Linked DNA regions of Sus scrofa. The main gene of each other region encodes a partner of the protein of the gene in region 2 in a complex. Links are inferred from orthologs where the notes say so. Each region holds a gene or a part of one and is shown on either strand. Other genes may lie near its edges.

The links.
Region 1: TAF6 (region 2) and TAF12 share a complex: the UniProt entries of both Homo sapiens proteins name them as parts of the TFIID basal transcription factor complex. The link is inferred for Sus scrofa from reciprocal best matches to the Homo sapiens genes TAF6 and TAF12.

What each region holds. Positions count from the first base shown.
Region 1 is NC_010448.4:85,639,964-85,644,461, forward strand, and holds the start of TAF12 (transcription initiation factor TFIID subunit 12), read right to left. Parts: upstream 3,108-4,498; 5' UTR 2,995-3,107; exon of another isoform or gene 2,543-2,994; intron 1-2,542. UniProt on the Homo sapiens protein: The TFIID basal transcription factor complex plays a major role in the initiation of RNA polymerase II (Pol II)-dependent transcription.
Region 2 is NC_010445.4:8,016,869-8,020,751, forward strand, and holds the end of TAF6 (transcription initiation factor TFIID subunit 6), read right to left. Parts: coding exon 3,816-3,883; intron 3,710-3,815; coding exon 3,527-3,709; intron 3,265-3,526; coding exon 3,190-3,264; intron 3,064-3,189; coding exon 2,938-3,063; intron 2,313-2,937; coding exon 2,139-2,312; intron 1,677-2,138; coding exon 1,479-1,676; intron 1,346-1,478; coding exon 965-1,345; 3' UTR 831-964; downstream 1-830. Other genes in the region: AP4M1 (AP-4 complex subunit mu-1), read left to right, coding at 114-225, 396-617. UniProt on the Homo sapiens protein: The TFIID basal transcription factor complex plays a major role in the initiation of RNA polymerase II (Pol II)-dependent transcription.

The sequences.
Region 1 (4,498 bases), on a different chromosome or scaffold from region 2:
AGAACAGTGGAGTTCTCTTGTGGCACAGCCAGCTAAGGATCCAGTGTTATCGCTGCAGTGGTTTGGGGTGCTGCGATGGCTGGGGTTTGATCTCTGGCCTGGGAACCTCCACATGCAATGAGTGTGGCAAAAAAAGAAAAAAAAAAGACTCAAGTCAGCTGGGCTGAGTGCTATCCTAGTTCTACCACTGGGTTATGTGAGCTCCTTTTAACCAGAATTTCTACATAATTAGAAGGACCAGGCAAATTCTAAAGTTCCCTCCAACTCCAACAACTAGTATCTAAGATTTAAAATTAAGTCTGTATGTACTGTTTTTTTTTTTTTTTTTTTTTTTTTTTTGGGTCTTTTTGCCTTTTCTAGAGCCACTCCTGGCACATATGGAGGTTCCCAGGCTAGGAGTCTAATCGCAGCTGTAGATGCTGGCCTACGCCACAGCCACAGCAACTGGGGGTCCGAGCTGCGTCTTTGACCTATACCACAGTTCATGGCAACGGGGGATCCTTAACTCACTGAGCAAGGCCAGGGGTCAAACCCGCAACCTCATGGTTCCTAGTTGGATGTGTTAACCACTGCACCACGACAGGTATGTATTGATTTTAAAGTTTGTCTTCTGCTTCCAACACACCTGTTTCATGGTACTGGTTGTAAACACAGCCGATATATTGTTTCCAAAGTACTTAGGGACTTCCCCCAAACACCTTGAGTAAAAAGTACTATGTTCTTTGAATTCATGAACCTGTGGCAGGTTTGATCCCAGGTCCAGTACAGTGGGTTAAAGGATCTGCGTTGCTGCAATTGCAGCATAGTTCGCAACTGCAGCATGGGTTTGATCCCTGGCCTGGGAACTTAAACATGCCTTGGTGCAGCTGTGGCGGGGGGGGGGGGGGGGGGGAGGGATAACATGTTCTGGAGTTTCTTTGTGGCCTAGTGGTTAAGGATTTGGCATTGCCACTGCTGCAGTGAAAGTCTGATCCTTGGTTTGGGAATTTCTGCATGCCATGAAAGCAGCACCCGCCTCCCCGGGACCTAAAAGTAATATGTTCTATGTTCATATCCACTCTAACACAATGATTCTCTATCAGGTACATTCTTAGAAATCCTATTATAATAATTCAATCAATGCTAGAGCCACAAATGAGTGAAATAAGTAGCACATTTTCCAAAGATAGATGAGGATGCAATTTTGCTGATGGGCAAACTGAGACAAGGCGAGGAATCCACTTAGAAAAGCAGAAAAAACTTCAAACACCTGAGTTTGACTGGGTCTGGGCCACTTAGTACCATGTGATTTCAGGGAAACATTTAACGTCTCTGCACTGATTTCCTTATCTGTGCCATGGGATTAACAATATCTAACTGGTGGGGCAGTAAGCAGTAATTAAATGATTTAATACTTGAAAGTGCTTATGATGGTGTTTGGTTAGTCTGAGTAAGTTTCAGTAAAAGGTATTATTGAAGAAGGGAAGTGACTAGTCCAAGTCTCTCCACCATCCTTATCTGAAAGCGGCTATTTCCAGTAAATGCTTATGCTAAAAATACAGGATACAACTTACCTATATGAACTTTCTAAATGACTATTTTTGAGAGGGAAGGGGCTTCATTTAATGGTTTCCTAACTGGTAAGTGACATTCACTGCATCAATGTCAATACAGTAACAAGACTCAAAGTACTTAAATCTGTAAAAATTTCCCTCTTGAGTTTGAAGTTAGAGCAAAGATTCTAGAAGCATGTTTTCAAGGAGTATTAACCGAGCCTCTCCCATTTGCTATGCAGAGCAGGGTACTGTAACAAAATTTCCATCTAATCAATCATTGACTCAGTGTAACCCTAAGCCCTGTTTGGACTTTAGCCTCCTTAGAGGTAAAATATGAGTTTATAAAAGATGATCTTGGGAGTTCCCTGGTGGTCTAGTGGTTAGTACTTGGTGCTTTCACCGCTGCTGTTCCAAACCCTGGTCTGGGAACAGAGAAACAGATATCCTCCTACATAAAGCCGCTGCAAGCCCGGGGGTGTGGGGGGACGCCTGATATTTCCGGGGTCTCTCCATCTCTGTCATTCTCTTCTTTGAAATGCAGAGATCTATGCTAAATATCGGAGTTGAGTGGAATGGGATTTAAAGCACTTATAAAGTACACAACTGAGTTCAAACTGCTTTAACTTCACACCAGTGCTACTCCTGAAGGAGCAGAAAACGAAGATGCTTGGCTTCCTAGATCGTTCTGACACGATAAGCCTGCCAAAAGCCAAATAGGCAGCGTGAAGGAGTCGTCTTCCCCTGAATACATCCTTTACCATTCCCGGTTCAGAGAATATGAGGGGATGGGGGAAGGATCACTATGTCTTTTTCAAACTCTCTCCCCTTCCCTTGGAGGCTGATCTACTTACAGACACAGCCCCTTACACTCTCCGCTTTTAGGATCTCAGGTCCTCATAGTCCTGTTCCCTCAGGTACTTCGGAGTCTGCAAGCCCCGATCCGGTCCCCAAAGAAGCGCGTCTTCACTGCCCGCTCCTGTTCTTCCCAAACCCAAATGTTCTCTTACCGCTCCTGCCTCTCAGGAACCTGTCTTCGCTGCCCTGTTTCTGAATCGTTAGAAGCCTGGGTCTTCACTGTTCCGCTTCTGCCGCTTAAGAGCCCAAGTCCTAACAGCTTCGCTTTTACCTCTCAGGAGTCCGTGTCTTCACACCCCGTTCAGTTCCGACCCTCTCCTCTTAGAAGCACGGATCCTCATAATCCTATCTCTCTCAACTCGCTTTCCCTTGCGTGCGGGAGAACTCACATCCATCCCGGTTCCCTAAGTCCCGTCTGGAGCCCAGGTCCCCACAGCCGCGTCTTCTCCGATCCCCGAGCCCCTCAGTCCCGTCCCACGAGCCTGATTCCTCACACAGCCCAGTCTCCTTCACAATTTGGCTCTTCGAACACTGACCACTGTGGTCTGGGTCCTGACTCCCTCCTCCCGCTCTTATTCCTCAACTGCCAGGGCCCAAGACTCACAGGCAGCAGCGTCTATCTCCCCATGATATGCGGAGACTGCCCCAGTGAAGCGTTCGTCTCAGCAGCCGGTCCGACTGCTCGGCCCTCCCCGAGTACTTCCGGCACCGCTCCCCGCCTCCAACCCGGAAACGCGCGGCTCTTCCGGCTGGCGGGCGCGCGCCTGCTTTGCGCAGGCGCAGACTGCTCTCCGACACGTGGTCGCCGTTCTGCGCTGTAGCTCAGTTCTGGTGGTTAGGTTTTTTCGGCTTGTGGTTAATGGGCAGTGTAAGCAAACTATGCGCTTTGTATTCTGGCGGTACGAACCCTGCCCTAGCTATTTCTTTCCGACTCTGCCTGCTGTGTATATCGCTATCATGACCAGCATTGACGTCCTCGGATGGCTTAGAGGTCGCCATTTTTGGTTGGTGTCTTTGTCGTGCTATCAGGAAGGTAATAACTCGTGGGACAGCAACACTCCATAGATATCCCGTTGGACCCCAGCAGGAAAAATCTGAGGACAAGGGAGACCGATTGGGTTATGACTGTGAATAGGCAGTTAATAATAATAGTAATAATTGAGCCCTTACTATCTGCCAGAAATTTTTCTAAACCTACGGTAAATCATTTTAACGATTTAAAGGAAATCTGTGAGATTAAGCAAGTTAAGTAGCTAATAAAAGCAGAGTCTCAAATTGAACTCACAAATTCTCACTCCAAAGCCTGAACTGTACTTCAACCATTAAACTGATGCCTTTGGTTATCTCTTCCATCAAATGCATGGTGACAGTTGCTTTATTTATGCTATGCTAGATGCTAGGCATATAAACAAAACACAATTCCAGCCTCAGTCCCTTTGGAGCCCAGGTCCACACACTAAGATGGAGAACCTGCAAACATAAAGGAGAGTACAAAGTGCTGTGACAGCCCAGAGTGAACAGCAGTAACTGTCACAAGGAAAAGCTGTCTCCTACCTGAACTGATGCAGCAATTTGCTCTCCCTTGTCTTCTTTTTCTTTTTCTTTCTTTTTTTTTTTTTTTTTTTGGCCATTCCTGTGGCTTGAAGAAGTTCCCTAGGCCAGAGGTGGGACCCATGCCCCAGCTCTGACCATAGCTACAGCAGTGACAGCACCAGATCTTTAATCCCCTGAGCCATGAGGGAACTTCCCCTTCCTGTCTTTATATCTTGCCATCTTCATCCCACCAAATTCACAATCCTCCCTTACACTGTCACAGATCCATGTTCACAGATTCCAGGCCCTTTCACCATTAGGCTTCGAGTTATCGTCCTAGTCTTATTTCTCTGCCACTGATCCCTTCATTCTTTTTTTTTTTTTGACTTTTTGACTTTTTGACTTTTTGCCTTTTCCAGGGCCACTCCTGCGGCATATGGAGGTTCCCAGGCTAGGGGTCCAATTGGAGCTGTAGCTGCTGGCCTACACCACAGCCACAGCAACATGGGATCTGAGTCGTGTCTGCCACCTACACCGCAACTCACGGCAACACCGGATCCCCAACCCACTGAGCA
Region 2 (3,883 bases):
CTGCTTCGCTGGACAACAGGATGGCACTGGGGGAGGAGAGTGGGCTGGCACTGGCCTGCCCCACCCCAGGAGACCAGGGGCTGGTCTTAGCGCCTTTCCTCTCCGGCCTCCAGCCTCTCTCAGGAGCTGAGCAGCCCAGAGCAGAAGGCAGAACTGAGGGAGGGAGCCCTTCGCTGGGACCTGCCCCGGGTGCAGGGAGGCTCGCAGCTCTCAGGCCTCTTCCAGGTATCAGCCGCTGGTTTTCGGAGGCCCTCTCCTTCCACTTCCATTTCCAGCCCCTGGCGCTTGCCTCTGAGTGCGGTGGGTCAGCGTGATTGGCTTCCTGGCCCCTCGGCTCCCCCGCCCTCCTTCCTCTCTGGGCCTTCAGCACCCTCCCCTACCTCTGCCCCTCACAGATGGATGTCCCGGGCATTCCTGGGCCTCCCGGCCCAGGGCCCTCCGGCGCGGCTCCTCTGGGGCTGGGCCCTGCCAGCCTCTCCTTCGAACTTCCCCGGCACACGTGCTCCGGCCTCCAGGTTCGCTTCCTCAGGCTGCCGTTCAGACCCTGCGGCAACGCCAACCCCCACAAGTGGGTGCGACACCTAAGCCACAGTGATGCCTACGTCATTCGGATCTGAGGCTCCCGAATAAGGACTCAGGCGGCAAGAGCGGGTCTGTGTAGCAGAAGGACGATGTTTTCTCCTCCAGTGTCCTGGCCTCTTGCTGTGGGTGTGGCTCGAAGAGTCCTGTGTCCTAGAGACTAAGGGAGCTCGGTGGGTTCAACCCTCCTGTGGGATCTGCCCTGGGAAGGACTGGGGGACCACACCTTAAAAATGAAACTTTTATTCTGAGGAGCTGGCTGTACAGTATCTAAAGAGAAGGTCACGCGGAGGAAGCTACGCCTTCCTTCCATCTAGCGTGCGCGAGCCTGTGTGTGTATGAGTGTGAGTCCGGGGCAGAGAAGGTGGGCAGGCCTGTGACAGCATCAAGGCGCAGGCTGAGGGGAGCCAGATCCGGGGGGCTGGGAGCCATTAGCCTTTGGAGTCCCCGGGGCGGGAGGGGGGCTCTCCCCCGCTTCGGGCTTCCCCCCACAGAGGGCGCTGCCCCCAAGCGGGGAGGGGGCGGAGGGCAGGGAAGGGGCTGGAGAAGGATGGGAGGTGGCGCCTCCCTTGCCCTCCCCTGTGGGGGGAAGAGAGACCACAATGTACTTCTGGACACTGCCGGGACCAGAGGGGGCAGTGCTGGGGGGCGCGGCCGTGGCGGTGGAAACCAGCTTGACGATGGGCTGCACGCTCGGGACGGTGGTGGTGACGGGCGAGGTTGTGGTAGAGCCTGAGCCGGGGGCCGAGGTGCTGAGGGACAGGACCTGGGCGGGAAGACAGGCAGTGCGTGTTCCCTCCCCACACCCCAGGCCTGGGAGATACTCCCCTCGCTCCAACCAAACAATCAGTGACACGGCGACACTGCCCACGGTCTCTGCTTCCCCATGCTCCGCTTACCTGCTGGGTGGATGAGGCGCTGGAGGACGATGACATTACAATAAACTTGGTTGGGGGAGGGGAAGGCTGAGGTGGGGCAGCAGCTCGTGCAGACACCAGTGTCTGGACAGGCAGTGCGATGGAGCCAGGGACCTTCAGCAAGCCAGGGGTCCGAGGGCCAGGCTGGGGGGCCTGTGAGAGGGTCAGCGTGGGCCGGGGCTATAACAAGAAGAAGCAGGAAGAGAATGTTGCCAAGAGTTCCCACTGTGGTGCCATACATTAAGACTCCAACTGCGTTGGCTCAGGTCCCCAGTTTGGTCCCCGGCCCAGCACAATGGGTTAAGGATCGGGCGTTGCTGCAGCTGTTGGCGTAGGTCACAGCTGCCACTGAGATTCCAGCCCTGCCTGGGAACTTCCATAAGAAAATGTCTCCATCTATGAAAAACATTCACCAGCTACAGAAAGAAGGGCTCCTTTTGCTCCTCAGTGGGTCTCACTGGGGTTCGGCCATTGTCAGCAAGGGGGCCTAGACTCCCCCAAGACTGCTGGCTCGGGGGCCCTGTGTCTTGTGCTAGTGAGCGTGTGCTTGTGTGTCTGTGCCAGGACGAGAACCACCCTGGGTTCTCCACTTCGCCTCACCCTCGTCTCCCCCTGCTCACCCCCGCCCCACACCGCACCGACCTGGGTGATGGTCAGGGTGGTCCTGTTGACCTGCTGAGCCTGCAGAGCAGCCTGGGCCCGGGCCTTGACCACATGGGAGCAGAGGAGGGGCCCGAGGGACCCAAATTCTGCCCGATAGGCATCTTGGTTGTCAGGTGGCGGGCGCAGCTTTGCCAGAACCGGGGCACAGTGTTTCTGCAGAAAGAAGGCAAAAAACAGCCAGGTAGAGGGAGGGCTGGGACTCAGAACCTTGACGGGGAAGGGGCGGCAAAGGAGGCCACCCACTGTTTCAGTGTGTTCCTGCTGGAGGCCAGTTGGCACTGGGGTATCAGTGTGTGTAGAGAACACGGGCGCCAGCTGGTGTGAGAGAAGAACATGCTGACTACACTGGTATCATCTAGGGCCCAGCTGGTCCACTGGGCGTAGGCCTTGTGCAGAATAGGCTAGGGCGACACAGAAGCATCAGGGGCCATGCAGTTTCCAAGTCACAGGCTGAGTCTTAAGACCTTATTTCTCTGCCTTTTTTTTTTTTTTTTTCTTTTTCTTTTCACAGCTGCACCTGCAGCATATGGAAGTTCCTGGGCCAGGGGCTGAATCGGAGGAGACCTCGTATTTCTTTCTTGACTCCTCAGTGCCTCAGTCTTTCCATGTGTAAAACGATATGGGACTCGGAGGTGTGCTCTGAATGTATGAGGGAAGACTGGCAAAGGGAACAGAAGATGCTATATATACCCTTGCTAAACCCTGTTGTGTGTGTGGCGGGGGCGGAGGGGAGATTTGTGGGAAGAAGTGGGGGAGGGCAGGGGCGGGGCTTTGTCACCAGGAGGAGGCTCTGCACGTGGTCAGCCCCGATGCGGTCAATATTGCTCAGCACCGGGCCATCCAGGACCCCGCGGATCCGCTCCCCCTCCTGCTGTAGCCTTGGCAGAATTAGAGTCTTAATCACCTGTTGGAAAGAAAGGGGAGAAGCCAGGGCCCTGGGGTCACCACAGGGTTTCCTGGGTCCGGGGGTGGTGGCCCGCTATGACCTCCCAATCCCTCCCCTCCCCCAGTGCTCCCCCCAGCGTCTAACATCGTGTCCCAGCTCTGCCAGGCCTGCGATGGAGCCGTAGCGCGTTGTCCACGGGGTCTTCTCATCCACCCAGCTCTGTAAGGGGCCAGAAAATAAACCCAAATAAAGGGGCATGAAAAGCTAACTGGTAAGGACCCCAGTCTGTCATAAACACGCTTTCTTTGTAAATCATTAAGACACGACAGATGTGGCTCAGGTCCCAGTTCCTATCCCCCTGCCCGCTGCCCCTGGTTTTCCATGTTGTTTACCGCAGCCGCACGGGTTTGGGTGAAGCTCTCGTCGTTCTGGTGACGACCCCCGGCAGTGACGTGAGAGGGCCCCTGCACCTCCAGCTCACCTTGGTAAAGGTCTTGGTGATTCGAGACTGGATGTTGTTCGTGGTTGTGCTGAAGTGCTTGCAGATCTGGGCCACCAGGCGGGCGGCAAAGTCCCGGAGCGCCCAGTGATTGTCCACGTCTGGCCGCAGGCACAGCTGTCTGCTCACGATGCAGGTCATCACAGCTGGGATCAACTCGTGCACCTAGGGGAGAAGCCTGGAGTCAGCCGGTGCTGACAAGTGGTCCCCTGTTGGTGGCGGCAGGGTCCCCAAGGACGGGGATGGCGGCAGGGCAGGCAGGTCCACTCACATATTTCTCTAGATACAGAGTGGGGTTGTCCATCAGCGCCTTCACCATGCGCATCAGGTAAATGAGCA